Linked DNA regions of Cricetulus griseus. The protein of the gene in region 2 purifies or fractionates together with the protein of the main gene of each other region. This does not show direct contact. Links are inferred from orthologs where the notes say so. Each region holds a gene or a part of one and is shown on either strand. Other genes may lie near its edges.

Region 1 (9,861 bases), about 34 Mb from region 2:
CCCTTCAGTGCGGAGCTGAGTTCCCTGCCAATGTTAGGGGAGCTAAAGGGGTGTTCCAGTCCCAGGCCTCGCACAGGGCCCTACTCCCAGCATGCACTCTAGTGCTTTAGATCTACAGTCACCTCTGTAGGGTCTTCTAGCCACTCTATAGGAGGGAACCTCACCACTACCACCACCAGTGTACCAAAGGGGTGTGGGGGGACATGTGACAGGAAACCTGTTCCTGCACATTTCATTTTCCCTTTCTAGAAGCTGTCCAGCTGGTGCCCTGGCCCCTGAAATGGTATGGGTACCCTCAGTGGCAAGGCCAGATTTCTCTGGGTTTTTTTATTGTTGTTGTTGGTTTTTTTTTTTTTTTTTTTTTTTTTAAACAGGCTGGATTTGAATTCACTACGTAGCCCAGGGTGACACTATAATCTTGCTGGGATGACAGGCATGGATGCCATATTGGGTTTATGAGGCAAGAGTAGAGTTCAGGGTTTTGTAGTTGTGAAGGAGGCACACTACCCACTTGTCCCCAGGCTCCCCTGGTCATTGCTCTAACTCCAGTTCCAGGGTACCTGACACCTTCTACAGACAGACATACATGCAGACAAAACATCAATGCACATTTAAAAAAATAAAAAAAGGCAGAGGCAGGAGGATCTCTGAATTTAAGGCCTACAGATCATCCCAAGACAGCCAATCCTGTTACAAGAGAAACCCGTCTTGAAAAAACAAAAAGAAAAGTTTACATGCCCATGAGACCTCACCCTGTGCCAAGCTCACAGTGTAACATGAAAAATAAAAGACCCAGAGACTGGTTTTAGGGTTCAAGCTTCAAGCTGTTGTTCAGAAAAGCAAAGCAGCCAGCACTAGCTCTCACTTGTAGCTCAGGCTGAAAGGGCTGATCCATGAGCTCTTCACCAAGCCTCCAACTGCTCCTACTAAATACTGAAGACCCTGCTTCTATCTTTTATAGAAGTGCTGGGATTAAAGGTGTGTGCTCTGTTACTCTTTTAGACTGATTCAATCTCATGTATCCCTGGGTGGCCTTGAACTCAGAGAGATCCCTCTACCTCTTAATCCTGAGTCATAGGATTAAAATTGTGTACCACCACCACCTAGCTTCTGGCTGCTGGGATTAAAGGTGTGTGCATGGCTTCTATGGCTTGTGGCTGACTTTGCTCTCTGAATCCTCAGGCAAGCTTTAATAAATCATAAATAATATAACACCACATCACAGACTAGGTAAGGCCACACAAGGCTACATGCAGAAGGCATGCTCCTCCATTTCTTTATAGACTTTAAATGTGTTACATTTATTGATCTGAATATCTGTGTACAATTGTCCCAGAGTACATGGAAGTCTGACACAACTTCCAAGAGTCTGCTCTCTCCTTCCATGTGGGTCTGGGGGACACGCTTAGGTGGGCAGGCTTTGCTGCCATTACCTTTACCCAATGAGCCATCTTGCAAGTCCTCAGTCCCACTCAGGAAATTCTCAAGTCCACCTTGAGATTGGCACTGTCATGGGTAGGTAGGAAACTGAGGCCTTGAAAGATAGCTAGCCTCATGTCACAAAATATGGAAGGGGGACGGAGGGGGGACGGGGAGGGGGGGCGACACCTCTCCCCTGAGTTCAGGCCATTCCCACACCCAGGCCAGATGTATTTATTCAGGAGTGTTTGGAGATGACATTTGGCTTCCCTTTTCCATGAGGCCACAGGCTTACTTCTGAATGATTCTATAACCTGAGGGACTCTATCAGTGAGCTCAGAAGAGCTCCCATGGACATTTCTGGGTATCTGTAAGCCTCTGAGACTGCAGACATCTCCCGGTAGCCAATGGTGTAAATCCAGTTGCTCAGTGGCTGAGGTGGTGTGGTAAGGGTTGTCTGTCCTTTCACCTTTTCTTCCGTCTAAGTTTCATGTTTGCTTATTTATTTTATGTATGTGTGCATGTGCGTTGTGCATTTGCCATGGTATATGTACACATGGTGGTCAGAGGACAACTTGGGACAGGTGGTTGCTTCTTCCCACCATGTGGTCAGGGATGAAGCCAGGTCATCAGGCTTGGTGGTGGCAAGCTGGTTTATCCACTGAGATATGTCATGGCTTTTTTTTTTTTTTTTGTGGGGTTTTTGTTGTTATTTTGGTGTTTGTGTATATTTTTACATTTTTATGTGTATGGATGGTTTGCCTGCATGTCTGTCTGTCTGCCATGTGCGTACAGTGTCCTCAGAGGTGAGAAGAGAGCATTGGATCTCCATGGAATCGAACTTCTGGGAAAGGAAACAGTGCTTTTAACTACTCATCTCTTCACCCTCCTGTTTGTTTGTTTTTTAAACTATTCCATGTATTGCTATTTCTGGATTTACCCCTCTTTCCTTCCGTCCCTACATCTGTGAGCTTGGTGACCCCTGCCTCAAGGCTGTCCAGGGATCCAGGCTTCACAGTACCCCCTGGAGAGTCCAGGATAGTGACCTGGCCATCATTTTTCTATGTAGCACATCAAACTGTCGGGGATTGTGCCTCCCAGAGGCACGCCAGTGTTGAGTTTCTGGGTTCTAGCTCCAGCACTCTTTAAGAAAAGCAAGCTGACAGCTGGGCAGAACGGGGGTATGTGTGTGGTCCTCCAGGGTCCTGTGATGGAGATGCCATTGCCCAGCCCTGGGCCTAGCTGACAAGATGAGTATTGAGAGTTTTTTTCCTTTGCTGGGAAGGACCATGAACTCCTGCCTCACTGTAGACCAGCCCTCTGTCAGGGTCACAGCACCAGCAAGAGCAGTAAAAGGAGCCCTGTGTTGCTAAAGACAGAGCAAGCTGGGATTCAGGCACTATGGGGACCCTTTCACCTCTAAGGATCCTGGCAGGGCCCTCAGCATTGCAGGTAGCAGCCATCCCTGAGAGCCAGACCACTTTTGTAGACAAGCCTTTGGTAAAGACCAGAAGGAGCCTTTTCTTTATTTTAGGAATAAAAAAGAGGAGAACAGTGCCAATTGAAAGCAAGGAGAAAGGCCCAGTTCAGCTGAGGACATCCTTCCCCAGCCCCAGGGCTCTCTCAGTCTCAGGGCTACTTTTCCCACCCTCCTCCTCCTTCCAGAATCTTCCCTGGTGGAGACAACAGTACAGAGGGCAGCACTTACCTCAGGTCCTCTGTCTCCACTGCTGCTGCTGGCCCACGCCCAGCCTAACCAATGTGCAGACTACTGTACATATCACAGCCTGCTGAACAGCTAGTCTGAACACTGGGATGGCGGGGGTGGTGGTTCAGCCCTCAGGGTGACCACTGTGCAGGCCAGGGAGCCTCTGCTTCTCCCAGGGTCCTCCATTCATCCTTGCACCCTGGGCTCTTCTGACGTGGCAAAGGCAGGGTGACTGGCTCACATCTGGATAAAGTTGGGGTTTTCAGGAAATCTGAAGGCGGGCTGGAGGAGGGCTTGAGTTGATGGCCCACGCCACAGAAGGAGGGAGGTCCCTATGCAGTTGTGCGCTCTGTAAGCAAGCGCATGCGCACACTAATGCATGTGCCTGTGACTGAGACTGCAGCTGCCTGATCCTGGGCAGAATCATATATAAACAATTCCAGATGTGGCAAGCCTAGATGTCTGTGACTCAGTTACTTGGCCCTGGCCTGCTGGTGAGAGGCTTCCTGTCTCATGACACCAGAGGGTGCAGGCCACAGAGTTACTCTGGAAATTACCCCTCATAAACAGAAGTTCCTTCAGGGACCCCCAAATTCCCGACTTTGTTTCTTATAACCAGGCAGACTTCAAGGCTGCCCTTCCTATTTGGGGATCTCAGCATGTAGGGCAGGTATGAGGGTGTTCCACCCTCCATGGCCACAGCCCCTCTGCCTGTGCTCAGAGGTCAGTCAGAGCAACAATAGGAAACCTGGAGCCAAAACCATACCACCCTCCCCATGATGAGACGCCTCAGTCCTCTTGACAGGTGGGGAATGGGCACAGGGGAGAAGCAACTTGTCCTAAGACACATGGCCTAGAAAGGCAGAGCAGTTTAACACAAGTACACATGCAGTGTTCAGACTGGCCCCGCCCATCCCCTACCCTTTCAGCACTATAGCTGCTGGAGAATTCAGGGGTGCTTTTCCAAAAAGCTTCATGCTGGGGCTTTTTGATAACACAATGGCCAGAAACATTAGAAAGAGTGATAAAAAGTGGCTGGGGAGCCAGCTCTGTGGGGAAGAATACTTATGCTGCAGCATGGGGACCTGATTTCAGCCCTAGGCAGGAGGATGTTTGGGGCTTGCTGGCCAACATCCTAGCTCCAGGTTTAGTGCAAATGCCTGTCTCAAGGAAAGATGTCCAGGTGAGGGTCTAAGGCTAGGGCTCAGTTGTTAGAGCTTTTGCCTGGCTTGCACAGAGGCCTGGGTTCCATCCCAGGACTGCAAGACCTGGCTGTGATTGGTGGCTCGGGCCTAAAATTCATTACAGCTCTTGTGAGGCAGAAGGATGAAGAATTCAAGGTCATCCTCAGCTATATAGCAAGTTGGAGGCTAGCCTGGGCTACGTGAGACTTTTTGTTTTGCTATAAGTCTATATGGTATAGAAAACCTTCACAGAGAGCTGGCTTTTCATCTACAGCCTTTTTTTTTTTTTTTTTTTTTTTTTTTTTTTTTTTTTTAAGCCACACACTTTTTTTGTTTATTTATTTATTATGTATGCGGTCTTCTGCCTGCATACCAGCAGAGGGCACCAGATCTCATAACAGATGGTTGTGAGCCACTATGTGGTTGCAGGGAATTAAACTCAGGACCTCTGGAAGAACAATCACTGCTCTTAACTGCTGAGACATCTCTCCAGCCCTCATCTACAGGTTACACAGTGGCCCCACTCTGTGCCCCTGGACAGCCAGCTTCCTACCCCGAGTACATGTAAAAGGAAAAGTTCTGGGAGTGGATCAGTGTGGCTTTGGCTTCAGCCACTGCTGCCAGTCACATGGCTATGAGAGTTGTAGAGAGACTAACTGGCACAGGCCTATCATTGCTGCTACCTGGGTTGCTGATACAGGAGGATTAGAATTTACAAAGGGACTGGGAAACTTAATGAGAAGTAAGAAGAGTGCTGCTGCCTGAGCAATGGATGCTCACCTTTGAGTTCCTGGGTTGCAGCTCCAGCATTGCGATGAAGAAAAAAGAGCGCTTGGGTTGGCCTCAGTGGCCTGGCATGCATGAAAAACTGGGCTTGATTCCAAGCATGGAGTAGAGAGACGGTGACTCACAAAGCCAGTGACACTTCTATGGCATTGGTGCCCTGGCATCAGCCTCCCGGTTCTGGCATTCAAGAAGGCCTCTGTGCTTCAGCCTTCCTTACTATGAGTGGGATTGTCACCATAACTCAGTGACATGAACCAAATTCTAGCTGTCAATTCTGTCCATTCATCTAGAAGTGGGGAGGACCACCTGGGAATAAAGAGTGGTCATGTTACACGTGAAGTTAGAACTGAGTAGTTTGAACACCCACTGCATGTGTGCTCTAGATGAAAAACAAAATTGGCAGGCATCCATCTGGGAACGGTCATGTAGGTCATAAGCATAGTGTCTATAGTAGGGTGGGATGGGGTTAGCCCTAAGGTCCCTTCTGCTCAGAGACCTTAAGGAGGAAGCGGGGGAGGGGGGGAGGTGCAGTGCCAGGACAAGAACATTCTGAACAGAGACGTCCTGAAGTTTTGAGGGAACATTGGAGTGAACAAGGGGCGACACACCTCTCAGCACCAAGTCAGGTGTTGGCAGCAGCTGTCAAGTGGCTGCAGGCTCTGCCCTGTCAGCCTAGGTGAGGCTTCTGCCCTCTGCTTAGGAGAAAGAGAAGAAGTACATGCTGCCGCTGGACAACCTCAAGATTCGGGACGTGGAGAAGGGCTTCATGTCCAACAAGCACGTGTTTGCCATCTTCAACACAGAGCAGAGGTGAGGAGCCTGCAGGCCCCTGGGAGAGCCCATTGCCCAGTGGCCTTGTTCACTGCTTCCGGAGTCCTGAGCACTCTCTTGAGTCATTTCCCCAGGGTCTCACCTTGTAGAAAGGGAATGCAGTTAAACTGTTCCAGGAGTGTTTCTGCGTAGTGGAAGTGAGGGCTCAGCGAACACCGTAGATGCAGACGATGGAATGAGCATGAGGACCTCAGTCTGCCCTCCCACACACCCAGTGCTGGGGAGGCAGAGATGGGAGGGCCCTTGGTAGTAACCAGCCAGCTAGATTAGCCAGTTCTGTAAGCTGCAGGCCAGTGAGGCAGACCATGTCTCAAAGAGGAAGGTGAACAGAAGGTGAGGAAGGTGTCTGTGTTGACCTAAGCCTGCATACACATGCACATACCATGTCCACAGACTTGACCTGACCCTGACCCTCACCTCATTCCTAAGTACAGAGACCATTCAGTGATGGAAGCTGTATGTGTGGCTCAGCAGTAGAGTGCCCGCCTGGAGTCTCCTAGCGAGAGTCTGGAGGTGTGGTACAGTGAGCTGGTCAGATGGCTCAGAGAGTAGAAAGTGCAGTCCTGATGACCTGAGTTTAGTCCTTGGAATGTACGTAAAGATGGACTTTGCAAATGGACACACACACACACCATTATAATTATTGAAAAAGAAATTTTAAGCTATCTGTTATTTTGGGCTGCCACACCAGGCAGTGCAGATTGAGTATGTCTCTGCTGTGGTAGGAAGTTCTGGTGGACATGGTTGCTGGGCTCTTCCTTGCAGACACCTCAGTGGAAGCTCCCAAGCCAGAGCAGGGTATCATGAGATATACCCAACATGGGACTGGTGGACAGCCATCCCTGCAGAACAGGAAAGAGGTGGCAGAAAGCAGAGGCAGGTAGGTCTCTTGAATTCGAGGCTAGCCTGGTCTACCGATCAAGTTTCAGGGTAGCCAGGGCTATATAGAGAAACCCTGTGTTGCAAAAAACAAACAAAAAGCAAACTTCCAACTTAAGAGGGAATGAGTTCAAGTTCATTGCTCAAGCCCATCGCTGTGAGGTGGTCAGGATAGCAGGAGCCTGAGACCCAGGGGCACGCCCCATCCCCATCAGAGACGGACAGGAGCTTGCATGCTCCCTCCTTTGCTTGCTGGCACTGAGGAAGTACACGGTGTCATGTGCCACTACACTGAGTGGAGACAATGCTCCACAGGCGCACAATCCCCATGTGTCCTCCACACGGAGTTCTAGGTTGCGTCAAGTTGATAATTAAAACCAACTGTCATAGAGAAGAAATGTCTGACCTCAGATACCAGGTTGGAATGTCAGGCATGGTGGCACACACCTCTAATCCCAGCACACAGGAGCCTGAGGCAGGAAGTTCTAAGTTTGAGGCTGGCTTTGGCTGTGTAGCAAGCCCTGCCCTATAAATAGCAAGCTGTCAACACTTCTGTACCAGATTTGTTTGATCTGATGGTAGTGTGTGTATATGGTATGTTATTGGTGCTATAGTGTACATGGCAGGCACCCAGAAGTCCTTTAAAAACTGGAGAGAGTACTAGACCCACCTTCATGCCCAGATCAGGCAGACAGACACACCACCCCCAATCCCATGCTTTTAGTGATCAGTCAAGTCCCCTTCTTCTACCCAGGAATGTCTACAAGGACTTACGGCAGATCGAACTGGCTTGTGACTCCCAGGAAGATGTGGACAGCTGGAAGGCTTCGTTCCTTCGAGCTGGAGTCTACCCAGAGAAGGATCAGGTGAGGAGCTACCTTCCCTTCGTAAATGACATACCAGAGGCTGCCTGGGAGAAGGAACTTCTAGGTCATAAGCATTAATCAGCCTTTCTTTGCTGTGGTAAAAATAGCTGCCATAGCCTATGGAAATGGTTTAGGTGGTGAGGTGCTTGCAACACAAGCACAAGGGCCTGAGTTCAATACCTACAACTACATAAACAACAGCCAAGTGTGGCGGTGCAGAAGAGGCCGGGAGAGGAGGACAACTAACGTCCAGTAACCAGCAACCTAGTCACATCAGTGACCCCCAGGCCCTGGGGAGACACTTGTCTCAAAAAGTACCCTGGTCTTCATAGTGAGTTCTAGGCCAGCCAGAGCCACACACCTGTCTGAAAAAAAAAGTACCTGCTGTGTATGAAAACTTTAGTTTGGATTCCCAGAACTCTAGTAAAAAGCCAGGCACAGACTGTGTTTGCCTGTTATCCCAGTCTTGAAAAGTGGAGGTACTTGGGATGAAAACAGGTGTGTGGATGGATCCTTGAAACCTGCTTAACAGGCAACCTAGAAAAATTAGTGTGCCCCAGATTCAGAGATGGTTAAGGGAATGGAGTTACTTCTGCCAGGCCAGAGGATGTGAGCTTGAACCCCAAAACCCACATGTTGGAGAGAGAGAACGGATTCCCACAAGTTGTTTTTGACCTACACGTGCCATAGCACACACGTGTTCACACAAATACATACATGTACAAAACATAAATGTGGGGGTTTGTTGGGGTTTCTTTTTTTTTTTTTTTTTTTTTTTTTTTTTTTTTGAGGCTGGGTCTGTGTGGCTCTGCCTGGCCCACAATTCACTATGTAGACCAGGATAACCTTGAACTTACAGAGATCTATCTGCCTTCTGAGTATGAGAATTAAAGGCTTGTGCTACTACCCCTGGAATAAAATGTAATTTTAAAAATTTTAAAACAGGTTCTGGGGCTGGAGAGATGGCTCAGAGGTTAAGAGCACTGACTGTTCTTCCAGAGGTCCTGAGTTCAATTCCCAGCAACCACGCGGTGGCTCACAACCATCTATAATGAGATCTGGTGCCCTCTGCTGGCATACAGGCAGAAGACTGTATACATAATAAATAAATAAAATCTTTATTTAAAAAAAAAAAAAAAAAAAAAAAAAAACAGGTTCAAGACCAGCCTTGCCTACATAGTAAGCTCTAGAACAGCCAGAGCTACATAGGGAGACCCTGTTATTCATAGATAGATAGACAGATAAATAGATAGATAGATAGATAGATAGATAGATAGATAGATAGATAGATAGATCCTGTAATTCATAAACAGACATTTTGAAGTAGTAAGGAGAGGCCCATGTGTGTCGGGCTACAACACACACACACACATACACACACACACACACACAGAGAGAGAGAGAGAGAGAGAGGAAGAGAGAGAGAGAGAGAGAGAGAGAGAGAGAGAGAGAGAAATGGCTCATATGAATGATATATACACATACATACAAATCAATAAATACCTGTTACATATAGCAAAGGGAGAGGTATTCTGTTTGGCTCCTGGTTTTAGAGGGCTCAAGTCCATAGCTACTTGGCCCCATGTGTGTAGCCTGTCTGTCATGGCAGTGGTGTTGGGGCACAGGTAGGAAACAAAGGGGAGGACGTGAAAGGGCTGGGGCCAAGGTGTCTCCAGGCATACACCTCTAGTGACATACTTTCTCCAGCTAAGCCAAGCTTTCTGAAGTTTAAAGAGCTTCAGAAATACAGTACTGTTGTTCTAGAGAGATGGCTCAGCAGATAAAAGCAGTGGCCACTCTTCAGAGGACCCAAGTTCAGTTCCCAGCACCCACATGACAGCTTACAGCTGTCTATAACTCCAGTTTCAAGGGATCTGACACCCTCTTCTGGCCTCTGTGGACACATGCACACATATGGCATGTATACGTACCAACACTGATGTACACATAAATAAAAATAAATCAAAAATAAAAATCTTGCCGGGCGTTGGTGGCGCATGCCTTTAATCCCAGCACTTGGGAGGCAGAGGCAGGCGGATCTCTGTGAGTTCGAGGCCAGCCTGGTCTAAAGAGCAAGTTTCAGGACAGCCTCCAAAGCAATAGAGAAACCCTGTCACACAAAAACAAAACAAAACAACAACAAAAAAATACAGCAGCACTAGCTGGAGCCAAAGGTACCAACACCCAA
Region 2 (10,389 bases):
AGACTCACAGCAATGACCTGCCCATGGTGACTCATGGCAACACAATTGTCTGTCATAAAAGCTTAGAAGGTATGATAACACACACCTTTTGTTCTAGCACTCAGGAGGCAGAGGCAGGCAGGTGTCTATGAGTTGAAGGCCAGGTCAAGTTCCAGGCCAGCCAAGGCTATGTAATGAGACTCTGTCTCAAACAAAACAAAACAGGATATGAGGGCTGGGTGGGATAACATACATCTATAATCCTAGTACTTGAAAGGTAGATTAGAATCCTGTTCTAATCCTAGAACAAGAGGATCTCAGAAATTCAAGGTCATCTTAGGCCATATAGCAAGATCCAGTTTGAGGCCTACCTCAGCTATATGGGAATCTTTCTCAAAAAAACAAAATAAGTGGGCTACCTATGTTGTAGTGGATGTGGATGGCCTCACACCCACACCTAGCATGAGTATATGAACAGCTCAAATTGAGCTCAGTAAGTTCAATTTATTATTTAAAAAAATAATAAGGGATGGTGGTACATGCCTTTAATCCCAGTTCTTGGGAGACAGAATTTGAGACCAGCCTGGTCTACATAGAGAGTTCCAGGCTAGCTATGGCTATCTAATAAGACCTTGTATCAAATACATACATACATACATACATACATAAATAAATGGGGAGTAGGGAGGTGAATGCATCTGGGAAGAATTAGAAGAAAGAGAGAGGGGTGAATATGATCAAATTATACTGCATAAAATTCTCAAAGAATTAATAAAATATTTAAAAAATTAAAATAGCTTAGGCAGATCAAGAACAGTAGAACATGCCTGTTGTTCTAGCACTTAGTAGACTGAAACAGGACAATCAAGAGTTTGAGGCAAGGCAGTGATGGTGCACACCTTTAATCACAGCACTCCGAGGCAGAGGCAGGTGGATCTCTGTGAGTTCGAGACCAGTCTGGTCTACGGAGTGAGTTCCAGGACAGCCAGGGCTACACAGAGAAACTCTGTCTCAAACAAAACACAAACAAGAGTTAAGACTAGCCTGGGTGGCTCACAGCCATCTGTAATAAGATCTGGTGTCCTCTTCTGGTGTGCAGATATACATGGAAGCAGAATGTTGTATACATAATAAATAAAATCTTTAAAAAAAAAAAAAAAGACTAGCCTGGGGTACAAAGAAAGACCCTGTTTCAAAAAAGAAGAAAGAGGAGCAACTGCTGCTATTGGAACTGGAAAGATGGTTAAACATACTTGTTGCTCTTGCAAAGGGCCAGAGTGTAGTTGGCAGCTCACAAGTATCTGTAACTCCAACTCTAGGAGATGCACCCTCTTTGGGCCTCTGTGGGTACCCTCACTCATGTTCACATATACAGCTCCAAACACAGACACATGGCGATACATATGATCAACAGCAAAGCTAAAGGAGCAGAGCAGCAGCAATCACTGCTGAGGTGAAGAAAGAATTCTATAAGGCTGAACCTATCTGTCCCCTTGTCAGGAGCTTGTACCTACAGGAACTGCCCTGCTTTAGGTAAGCCACAAGCTCCAAGGTCCCCCAAGGATGCTCTGTAGTCCCAGACCTGCCTCAGGAACACAAGCATACCAACTGAGGTGGTCCTAGACTATGAAGTCCAAGCCTCCTTCCTTCCTCCTTTCCCTTCTGTACCATCAAACCCAATTAACCAGCCCTTGGGAAGTTCCCTCCTCCATCTGCCTGATGCAGTAGATTCCAACATACTTGGCCCTATACCTACTCTGCCGTCAAATCACCTCAGTGCTGAAGGGACCATACCAGCCACTGGCCCTGTTTCCTGCCTCCCCGGCCTGGCTGGGCCTCCCCCAACTGTTCTCTCACATGCTCACAATTTGTTCAAACGTCTAGATGGGACAGATAGAATCCTGTGCAGCAGGACCAAACATCCTGTTACTTTCTCTGAGAAAAGTCTCTATCTACAAGGCTAGTACAGGATGTTCTCCCCCTGCAGTTTCCAAAGCCTGCTCAGTTCTGTCTCTTAGATCAACTCCAAGCCCTCCTCTCAGACTCACTCTAGACTCAGGCTAGAACTTAGAACCTAGAGTAAGCAGGGCTTGCACTGCAGGTGGCCGATACAGGGTAATGACCTCTGGCAGCATCTGCTTCAGGCTGCCCGGTTTCCCCAGAAGGCAGAAGCCCCTGACTCTAGGAAACATCTCAAGTGGAGACTGAGACATGGCTTCTCTTAACTGTCTGAGGTAGAAAGGACAATGTAGGTTTTTTTCCCCTTCTTTGGTGAGAGTCTGGGACACTCAGTGTGTGAACCTGTGATTGTCTCTCTTGCCCCAACTCTGCCCTAAGTGAGAGTCTCCAGCGACTGTGTTGGGATAGCTGTTTAATCATTGTGCCCAGCCTCTTGCTGCCCACACAAAAACATGTCATCCAAGGAGCTGGTTGAACCAGCTTTCCCAGGCCCAGCACGGTGTGTGGCTCCACTTCCGCACAGGGAGGCGGGAGGCGTCTGCTCCTGCCAGGCTGGGCCCCCTCTCTGAGTGCAAAGGAAGATCTATGGGACCAGCCTGAGGCACAGGGCAGGCTTTCCCCAGAAGTCTCTACCTGAAAGGCCTAAGAAACTAAGGTCCAGGAAGGCAAAGGCCTTTCCCAATCAGGGACACAAGGAAAACTGGGTGTCAAGCCAGGCTAGAACTCAAGCTTTGATTCCCTGGGGCTGAAAGGGAAAGAAAGTAGGTGGAGATGTGAGGGTTCAGCAAACAAAAGAGGTAAAGGAGAAGGTGATGAGGGCTGCCAGACAGAGTTCTGACAGCCACCATCATGATTAGGACAGGGGCCTGAGGGCAGAGGTAACATTTGCTTTTCCCTACACTCAAACCAGAGGGGTTGCCCAGAGTAAAACTCCTTGACCTCAGGGCCTAGGGTACTGGGAGCTGCCACACGCCCTGATATATTCTTCCTGAGTTACCAGCCCCAGGGAGGACCACACCTCTCTCTTGACTCTGCCTTCCCTAAGTCTGGACTAAGTCACCTGTTAGGTCAGCCCCTGACTCAATTCTTATGCAAGAGAAGCCCAGCTTGGGAAGGGAAGATACACTGGCCCATGTGACCAGAGCCCTGGAACTCTGGTTCTATTCCCCTGTGCCCAGCTTAGTGCTCCATGTGACCCAGGATGAGTCACTTCGCTGGCAGTTCCTTAACAGCAGCAACAGGCAGGGGCTCATCCTGTCCCTCCTCCACACAGGGGGCCATGAGAAGTGAAAACATGATGGGCCTGGGAGGCAGCCAATATGGATATGTCCTTGGGGAGCTGGAGGGAGGAAGGGATAGTCCCATGTGAGCCACAACCACTGTGCTGTGGACACAGACTTATCTGCAAAATGAGGACAGAGATCTCCTGCACAGAGAGACTAGCAGACAGGGTAGAGGGAGGGCCTAGGCTCAAATGCCTCAAAGGTAGGAGCTGAGCCTATGAGAGGGTAAGGCAACCTGTGTCTGTGTCTTGATTCCCCTTGAACCAGGGGTTCATATAAGGCACAATCTGGGATCTGGTTATCTCTGTGTTCCCAGAACCCAGGGTTGTTGTACCTGTGGTTCCATGCGTGATGGAGCAGATGAAACACAGAAAAACCAGAGTGGCCAGCATGGTATACACAAGTTCAGTGAGAACAAAGACCAAACCTGTCCACAATATCCCTCTGCCTACAACAGCACTCTCTACAGAATCATCTCAATACATTTGTTGAGCCTGCAATAGAGATGGAGACAGGAAAATGTGATGAGCTATTGTCATCATACAGGCTGTCACCATACAGCAGAACACCACACTTAGGAAGGGCTTACCTTTTTGCAGGTGGATAATGTCAGGGAAGTTGGAGAGCAGGCCCTGGTAGAGAGACAGTGTGTCAAGCATTTGGAAGAGATCATTCTTGGGCTGTTCAGCGAACATCTCACCAACAGTTTCATAGGTCCGGCCGGTGTGAGAAATGGCATTGTTGAGGGCCTCAGAGCTAAAGGGAGGATCCATCTGGAAGGCATGGCTAATGGCCTGGAAGGCACTTCCTAGTTTCTGGAATTCCTTGCGGAAGCCTCCCACATGCTTCCGCACCAGCTCTGATGCTACAGTGCTAAGCTGCAGAACACTGTCATCCATCTTCTTACTGAAAGCCTTGAATGTATCCACACGGTCCTCTACATCCTGCAGATCCTGGTGCTCTGTGGGGATTTGGAAGGTGAGAAGAAAGCTGGCACCCACCATCTCATCCTTCTCTGCCCGGCGTTTACCCATCTTCCACTGTTTGTCATCTAGGCAGCTGAGGAAATGCTGGAAGCCCTCATACTGAGAGAGCACTGGGTGGCTAGTCATGTGGTCCATCCAGAGGATGAGTCGTCGCTTGCGTTTCTCAATGAAGTCCTCCTCAAAGCGGCCAGTGGCCTGTTTCTCAGGCAGATGGGGCACCGAGATGACAGTGAACTTGTGTAGAAGGCGGTTGTAGAGCCAGTCGAAGTGTTTGTAGCGCCGGTAAACAGGTGAGCCAGCATGGGTGGGTGTAAGCTTGTAGGAAATATAACTTTTGATGCCTTTGAACTTGGTCTGTTTGGTGGGGTCCTCTACAGAGCAGGCAAATGGGTGGGGGTTGGCCTTCCATTGAGGGCCCCTAGGGCCCATCTCAATGGAGTATGTCTCAGCAATCTTGGCCATCATGGGCACATCACCAAGGATGAAGGCCTCCACCCCAGAGCGCACGAAGCATGAGAAACGATTAAGGTTTCGTCCCACCACACTGCCCCGCTTGGCAGATGACAGACTGTCCTGCCTTTCCAAGGGTGCCTTGGGTCGGAAAGCCATATGCTGACTGGGGTAGGCACCCGGGTAGGAGAGGTTGAGTGGAGGGTGCCCATTGGTACCTAGGCCACCAGCCCTTGGCTCTTCTACCACTGTGCATCCATCATCCCAGTCATCCCAGTCATCATCATCATCATCCTCAAAGCTTCCTTGGTTTGAGAGGAAGCCACTGCCCTCACCACTCCTGGCTGGGTTGGCCATACTAGAGCTGTTATACAAACTCACTTGGGTACTCAGGGAGCCTGCAAGGCTGCTAGGGTAGTCCACATAGTTGGTGGTGATGCCAGGACGGACAATCTCAACATAAGAAGCAGGGAAGAGCCCTGTCTCCCCACGGCTGTTCTGCCCCTGCAGCCAGCCGTCCAGTGAGGTCTCACTGAAGATAACCAGGTCTTCATTCTGCTGGATGCTGATTTCCTCTTTGTTCTCACTGTGGAAATCATAGAGGGCTCGGCCTTTCAGTGCCATGGCTAGGCTACCTGGTCAAGACTGGAAGGGAAATGCCTTGCCCAGACCCAGGATGCTCAGCAGGGTGCCCAAAAGTGTACTTGCAGCTCAAAGTCTATTATACCTTACTCAGACCCCCAGGCAGGGTCTCAGCATAAACTGTCTAGCTGCCTTCTCTTCAAAGAAATGTTCATGGTCCAGAAACTGACTTATCCAGTCTTGGGGTATCTGCCTGTAAGCAGGGAGAGATTGGTCATGACCACAGTTTTTCTTTTCTCCCTTGGCAGCCCCTGAGAAGGAGGGAGTCTCTCCCTCCTCTCACATCAAGTAGAAAAGCCAAATGACCTGAAGAAAACAGCTCTGCTAGAACAAGAATCCAAAGCGACAGACACTTTCCACTAGAACAATGTTGTACAACAGAAAAGAATCGGCCCCGGAACAAGGTCCCAGGATCGGAGACTAGTTTCTGCCTCCCCAGCTCCCAGCTCCCAGCTCCTTCTAGCAGCTCCGGCTTTGGGAGGCTCTCACATTCCTCTGAAGATCTGTTCCTTCCTCCTTCCTCTCTCCTCCCAGGCCACCGCGTCTTCAAGAATCCAGAAAATCCAAGAGGGGCAAGGAGAATAACAGCAGAGTCCTGAACCAATTCCAAGGGTGGATGTGTCCGGCCTCCAAACGAGCCAGGCAGGGAAAACAAGGGCCAAAAGCTTGCACAACCAGCAGATAACTACAAAATCTAGGGGGTGCGACCCCGCCTCGCCCGCTCTGGTGCCCTCTTCCCGCCCAGCAATAGCCCCTACCCTCGGAGAACAAGGGGGGGACAAGCCTCTCTCTCTCTCTCTCTCTCTCTCTCTCTCTCTCTCTCTCTCTCTCTCTCTCTCTCTCTCTCTCTCTCTCTCTCTCTCTCTCTCTCTCTGCCTCTTTTGTTTGCTTAATTCCTCAGCAGTTTCGGAGTACCTAAGTTGACCCTGATCGGAGTCCTAGAACCCCTGTCCAGAAGTAACACTAGTGGAAACCTCCACCATCACCCCCCACCACCACTGGTGTGCCAGCAAACACTCAACAGTAGTTGGTAGATGGAGTTCCGTCGAATAGATGGCGCGACCGGCTGTTTGTCCGGCCGGCCGGCGGTTCGTTCTCTGCGATGCCCTGTGGATGCGGCCCGAGAGGGATGAGCTGAGTCCTAGTCTCTTGCCTCTTTCCACCGCACTTGCAACTCCTCAGCGCTGCCAGCGGGAAGCCAGGTCCAAAACAAAACAAAAAAATAAAAAAAATAAAAAAGAAGGAAAAGGAGTCCAGGAGGTGGCGTCCCGAAGAAGGAGGAGAAAGCAGCAGGGGAGGTGAGGGGTGGGGAGAGAGAGAGAGAGAGAGAGAGAGGGAGGGAGGTATGAGCGAGGGAAATCAGGCTAGGGAATTGGGCAAACTCCACAGCACTTCCGCGCGTCCTGGAGCAAGGACCGCGCAGCTCCGCCCTCCCGAGGCCAGGGTGCCACCACCCGCTCTCCGTCCTCTTTCCTTCTGGCAGGCGCCCTCCCACCCTCGGGTTCAGTCCGGGTGGCTGGGATTCGGGAAGTGCACCGGGAGTCGGGGAGCTGCAAGGTTTCAGCAGCAGAGTTGCCGGTGCCGAAAGCCACCTCTCGCCCCGGTGGGAGCGCCGCGCGGTGGAGCTCGTCAGCCGCCGCGGGGCCTCGCCTCCTGGCCTCGATCACCCGCCTGCCTTTTCCGTGACGCAATTGCAGGAAAACTCCGAAAGTTTGCCGAGCGCCGAGTGGCAAGGAGGGAGCTAAGGGCTAGGAGAACCGCGCCGGCTTCAGGGGAGGCGACCTGCGGAGGCCCCTTTCCCAGCCTCCTTACCCGCCTTGCTTGCTCTGATCAATCTGGTGACTAGCACAGATACGGGATTGTTCTCAGAGGGGAAGGCAGCAAACTGTGCGACCCTGGTGTCCCGCATGAGATACCGGATGCTGCGAGCCTGATTGGGCCAGGAGCACCCCTGCCTTGGGCAGCTTCCTTCGGTGGGGGTGGGGAGCAAGAGTATACTTCAGCAGTGGCAAGGAACTTAGGCACAGGCGGGTTCTGGGTTGCCTTTTCCTTTCGTTGGAACTGAGTCTTAAATTCCAGCCAGCAACACCAAGGAGAGGGAGTAATCTGGTAGATAGCCTCTAGGCTTCCAGGATTTGACCCTCCAATTTATGCAAAACGCGGTGAACCGATTTATGCAAAACGCGGTGAGCAGATTAGGAGAGGAATTGTGCTAAATTCTGGAGCAAATAGCACAATGGTTGGATTCCTGCCGTGCCCCTTTGGTCTTTAATTCACCCAATCTGTCTCATTCATTAAATTGTATATTCCAAACAACAAATTAACCGAGTACCAATAATTTGCCAAGCCCTGGAAAAACAACAAAGTAAGAAAACTGTGCTTCCCTTTTGGAAGCGCGTTAAGTATCTGCACAGGTGGGCAAGATGTTCCTGCCTAGTGTATCCAGTGCTGTGGAAAATGCATGGGAGGGCACTTAGCCTGAGTGGAACACATATCAAGGACCTTCTCTTTTCCTCGGAGACGTCTGAGGTTACACAAAGACTTCAGCCCAGACTTCTTTCAATTCTGAGCCCTGGAGCCTTGTTTACCGCCCCCTGGCTAGAGTTTCCTACTAGTTTAAATTAGTGCTGCTAAAATTGGGACCTTTGGCTGTTTTGAGGGACATGATTCCCAGACCTCTGGCTTCAAAACTCGTTTTCATTGGTACAATCTGGATTTGACTCTCTGAAGATTACTAATAGCTGGTCGTGGTGACACACATGGGAGGAGAGGATCCTAAGTTTGTGGCCATCATAGTGAGTGCCAGGCCAGCCTGGGACACAAATCGAGATCTTACCAAGTTAAAAACTGGGCAGGAGCTGAAACAGAACTACCATGAGTTGGAGGCTGGACTACAGTGTGAAACCCTTTCTCAAACAAAACAACAACAAAAAAACTAGCTGGGGGCTGGAGAAATGGCTCAGAGGTTAAGAGCACTGACTGCTCTTCCAGAGGTCCTGAGTTCAATTCCCGGCAACCACATGGTGGCTCACAACCATCTACAATTCAATCTAGTGCCCTCTTCTGGCATGCAGGTAGAACAGTGTACATGTAATAAATAAATAAATCTAAAACAAACAAACAAAAAAATAGCTGGGTGTGGTGGTAGACACATTTATCCTAGAACTTGGGAGACAGGGGCAGGTGGGATAGGCCTATACTTCAGAAAGCCTAGCAACTGTATGGAAGGAAGTTTCTACAACAGTACCTAGTACCCAGCAACCACTAAAGAAATAGTTGTTATTGTTAGGCTCAACTAGGAGAAAGGTCTGTGAACAAGAAGAGACTCTCAAGCAGGGAGAGGAATGTCTCCGGCGGAGGTGGGAAGGTTTTACAAGTTTGAGGCCAGCCTGGTCTATCTAGGAAGTTCTAGAAAAGTCCAGCTAGGGCTACATACATAGCAGGACCCTTTCAAAACAAACAAAAGAAAGCAGCTGGGAGTCTTTAGAGTCAAGGCTCTTCATATGTGTAGTTATATATTGTTTATAACCTAACAACTAAAGTTTGCCTGAAGAACAGAATGCTAACTAACCACACACGTGTTTTAGAGGTAAGCCACTAGTTAGCCATAGAAGACAGACAGGCAGTGGTGGCCAAACGTTTAATTCCAGCACTTGGGAGACAAAGGCAGATGGATATCTGTGAGTTCAAGGCCACCCTGGGCTACATGAGAGTTAATCAGTCTAAAAGAGAAACAGAGCTCATACCTTTGATGCCAGCACCAGGGACATTATAAGGCAGGAGCTCAGTGCAGTCTTGGTGCAGTCTGATGTTTGATGGAGAACATTACAGTCGGCAGTCCTCCGAGGACAGGATAGTGTCCCCACCCCCCACCCCCTTTGGTCTTAGCCTTGGTAGAGGTAAGAACTCTCTAGCAGCTTGGCTGCTTTGCTTTTCTGATCTTCAGCTTAAACATTATCTGTCTCTAGGTTTTTATTATTCATGCTACAGTATGGCAGGGGTGGGGGATGGGGACGTGTGTGTGTGTGTGTGTGTGTGTGTGTGTGTGTGTGTGTGTGTGTGTGTCGTGGGCTATCCTGGCCACTGAGCTTCCCAAGGAGCAATCCCAACTCTTGACCTACTGATGTGAAAATTCATTTTGCTTTACAGCTGTTTTTCCCTGAGTAAAACTACCCAGATTCTAGAGTTTGTGCACTCTTCTTTCTTTTCCTTCTTTCCTTTCTTTCCTTTCCCTTCTTCCTCTCTTCCTTCCCTCCCTCCCTTCCTTTCTTTTTGAGGCAGGGTCTCACTATGAGACAAAGCTAAGCTACAAATTGCAATGTTCTCCTGCCTTTGTTTCCAAGTGCTTGGGATGCAGGAATGTACCATAATACCCAGCTTTGTTTTTGTGACAAGGTCTCAAGTGGTCCAGTCTGCCCCTCCAACTTGCACATAATGAAGGCTCTGTAATCCAGGCACACCTTTTTGTAGTCCTCCTGCCTCTGTTTCCTGAGTAACTGTGACAACAAGCTTGCTTCCTATATCGTCTTTACTTTGCATTCAAACACTCCAGTCACACACAGCCAACTTGGATTTATTATATGCTCTAGGTATAGTTTTTCTAAATCTTAGGGGCTACCCTCATTTCCAAATTCTTAGGAAAAACAAGTGTTTCGGCCTACAGAAATTTCCAGAACCCCCTCTACTCACTAAATCCCAGGGATCCTCTTCAGGTCTAAGGGGAACAGCCTCATTGTTACTAGTAAAGTGCACTAACCCTTATGATTTCCCTGCACCCAGCTCAAAGATTACAGATTCAGCAAGTCTAGTCTCTGCCGTCCATACATCCTGAGATTACTGATTACTTTTCTCAGTTGCAGGGTGAATCTGTCTCAAAGTACTGAGCCTCTTTTCTTTTTCCCAGGACTTTTTTTATTGTTCTCCAGTTTACACTTTAGCAAATTGATTTCCATATCCTCAAAACATCCTGAGGAAGGAATGATGCCAAGTATAAATCCTTTCAATTAAGGAGGTGCTGCAGTTGTCCCCCAACCAAGTTTTGCATAGTTTCCCTTGGGGAAACTCTCAGGCAAGATTCATACAGAGAGCAA

The links.
Region 1: the proteins of Snx33 (region 2) and Dnm2 purify together in Homo sapiens (co-immunoprecipitation; 3 studies listed by BioGRID and IntAct, with this or other methods). This does not show direct contact. The link is inferred for Cricetulus griseus from reciprocal best matches to the Homo sapiens genes SNX33 and DNM2.

What each region holds. Positions count from the first base shown.
Region 1 is NC_048597.1:134,363,386-134,373,246, forward strand, and holds part of Dnm2 (dynamin-2), read left to right. Parts: intron 1-3,163; exon of another isoform or gene 3,164-3,243; intron 3,244-5,797; coding exon 5,798-5,907; intron 5,908-7,561; coding exon 7,562-7,673; intron 7,674-9,861. UniProt on the Homo sapiens protein: Catalyzes the hydrolysis of GTP and utilizes this energy to mediate vesicle scission at plasma membrane during endocytosis and filament remodeling at many actin structures during organization of the actin cytoskeleton.
Region 2 is NC_048597.1:168,445,166-168,455,554, forward strand, and holds the start of Snx33 (sorting nexin-33), read right to left. Parts: upstream 6,440-10,389; 5' UTR 5,789-6,439; exon of another isoform or gene 5,493-5,788; 5' UTR 5,282-5,492; coding exon 3,811-5,281; intron 3,716-3,810; exon of another isoform or gene 3,556-3,715; intron 1-3,555. UniProt on the Homo sapiens protein: Plays a role in the reorganization of the cytoskeleton, endocytosis and cellular vesicle trafficking via its interactions with membranes, WASL, DNM1 and DNM2. Acts both during interphase and at the end of mitotic cell divisions.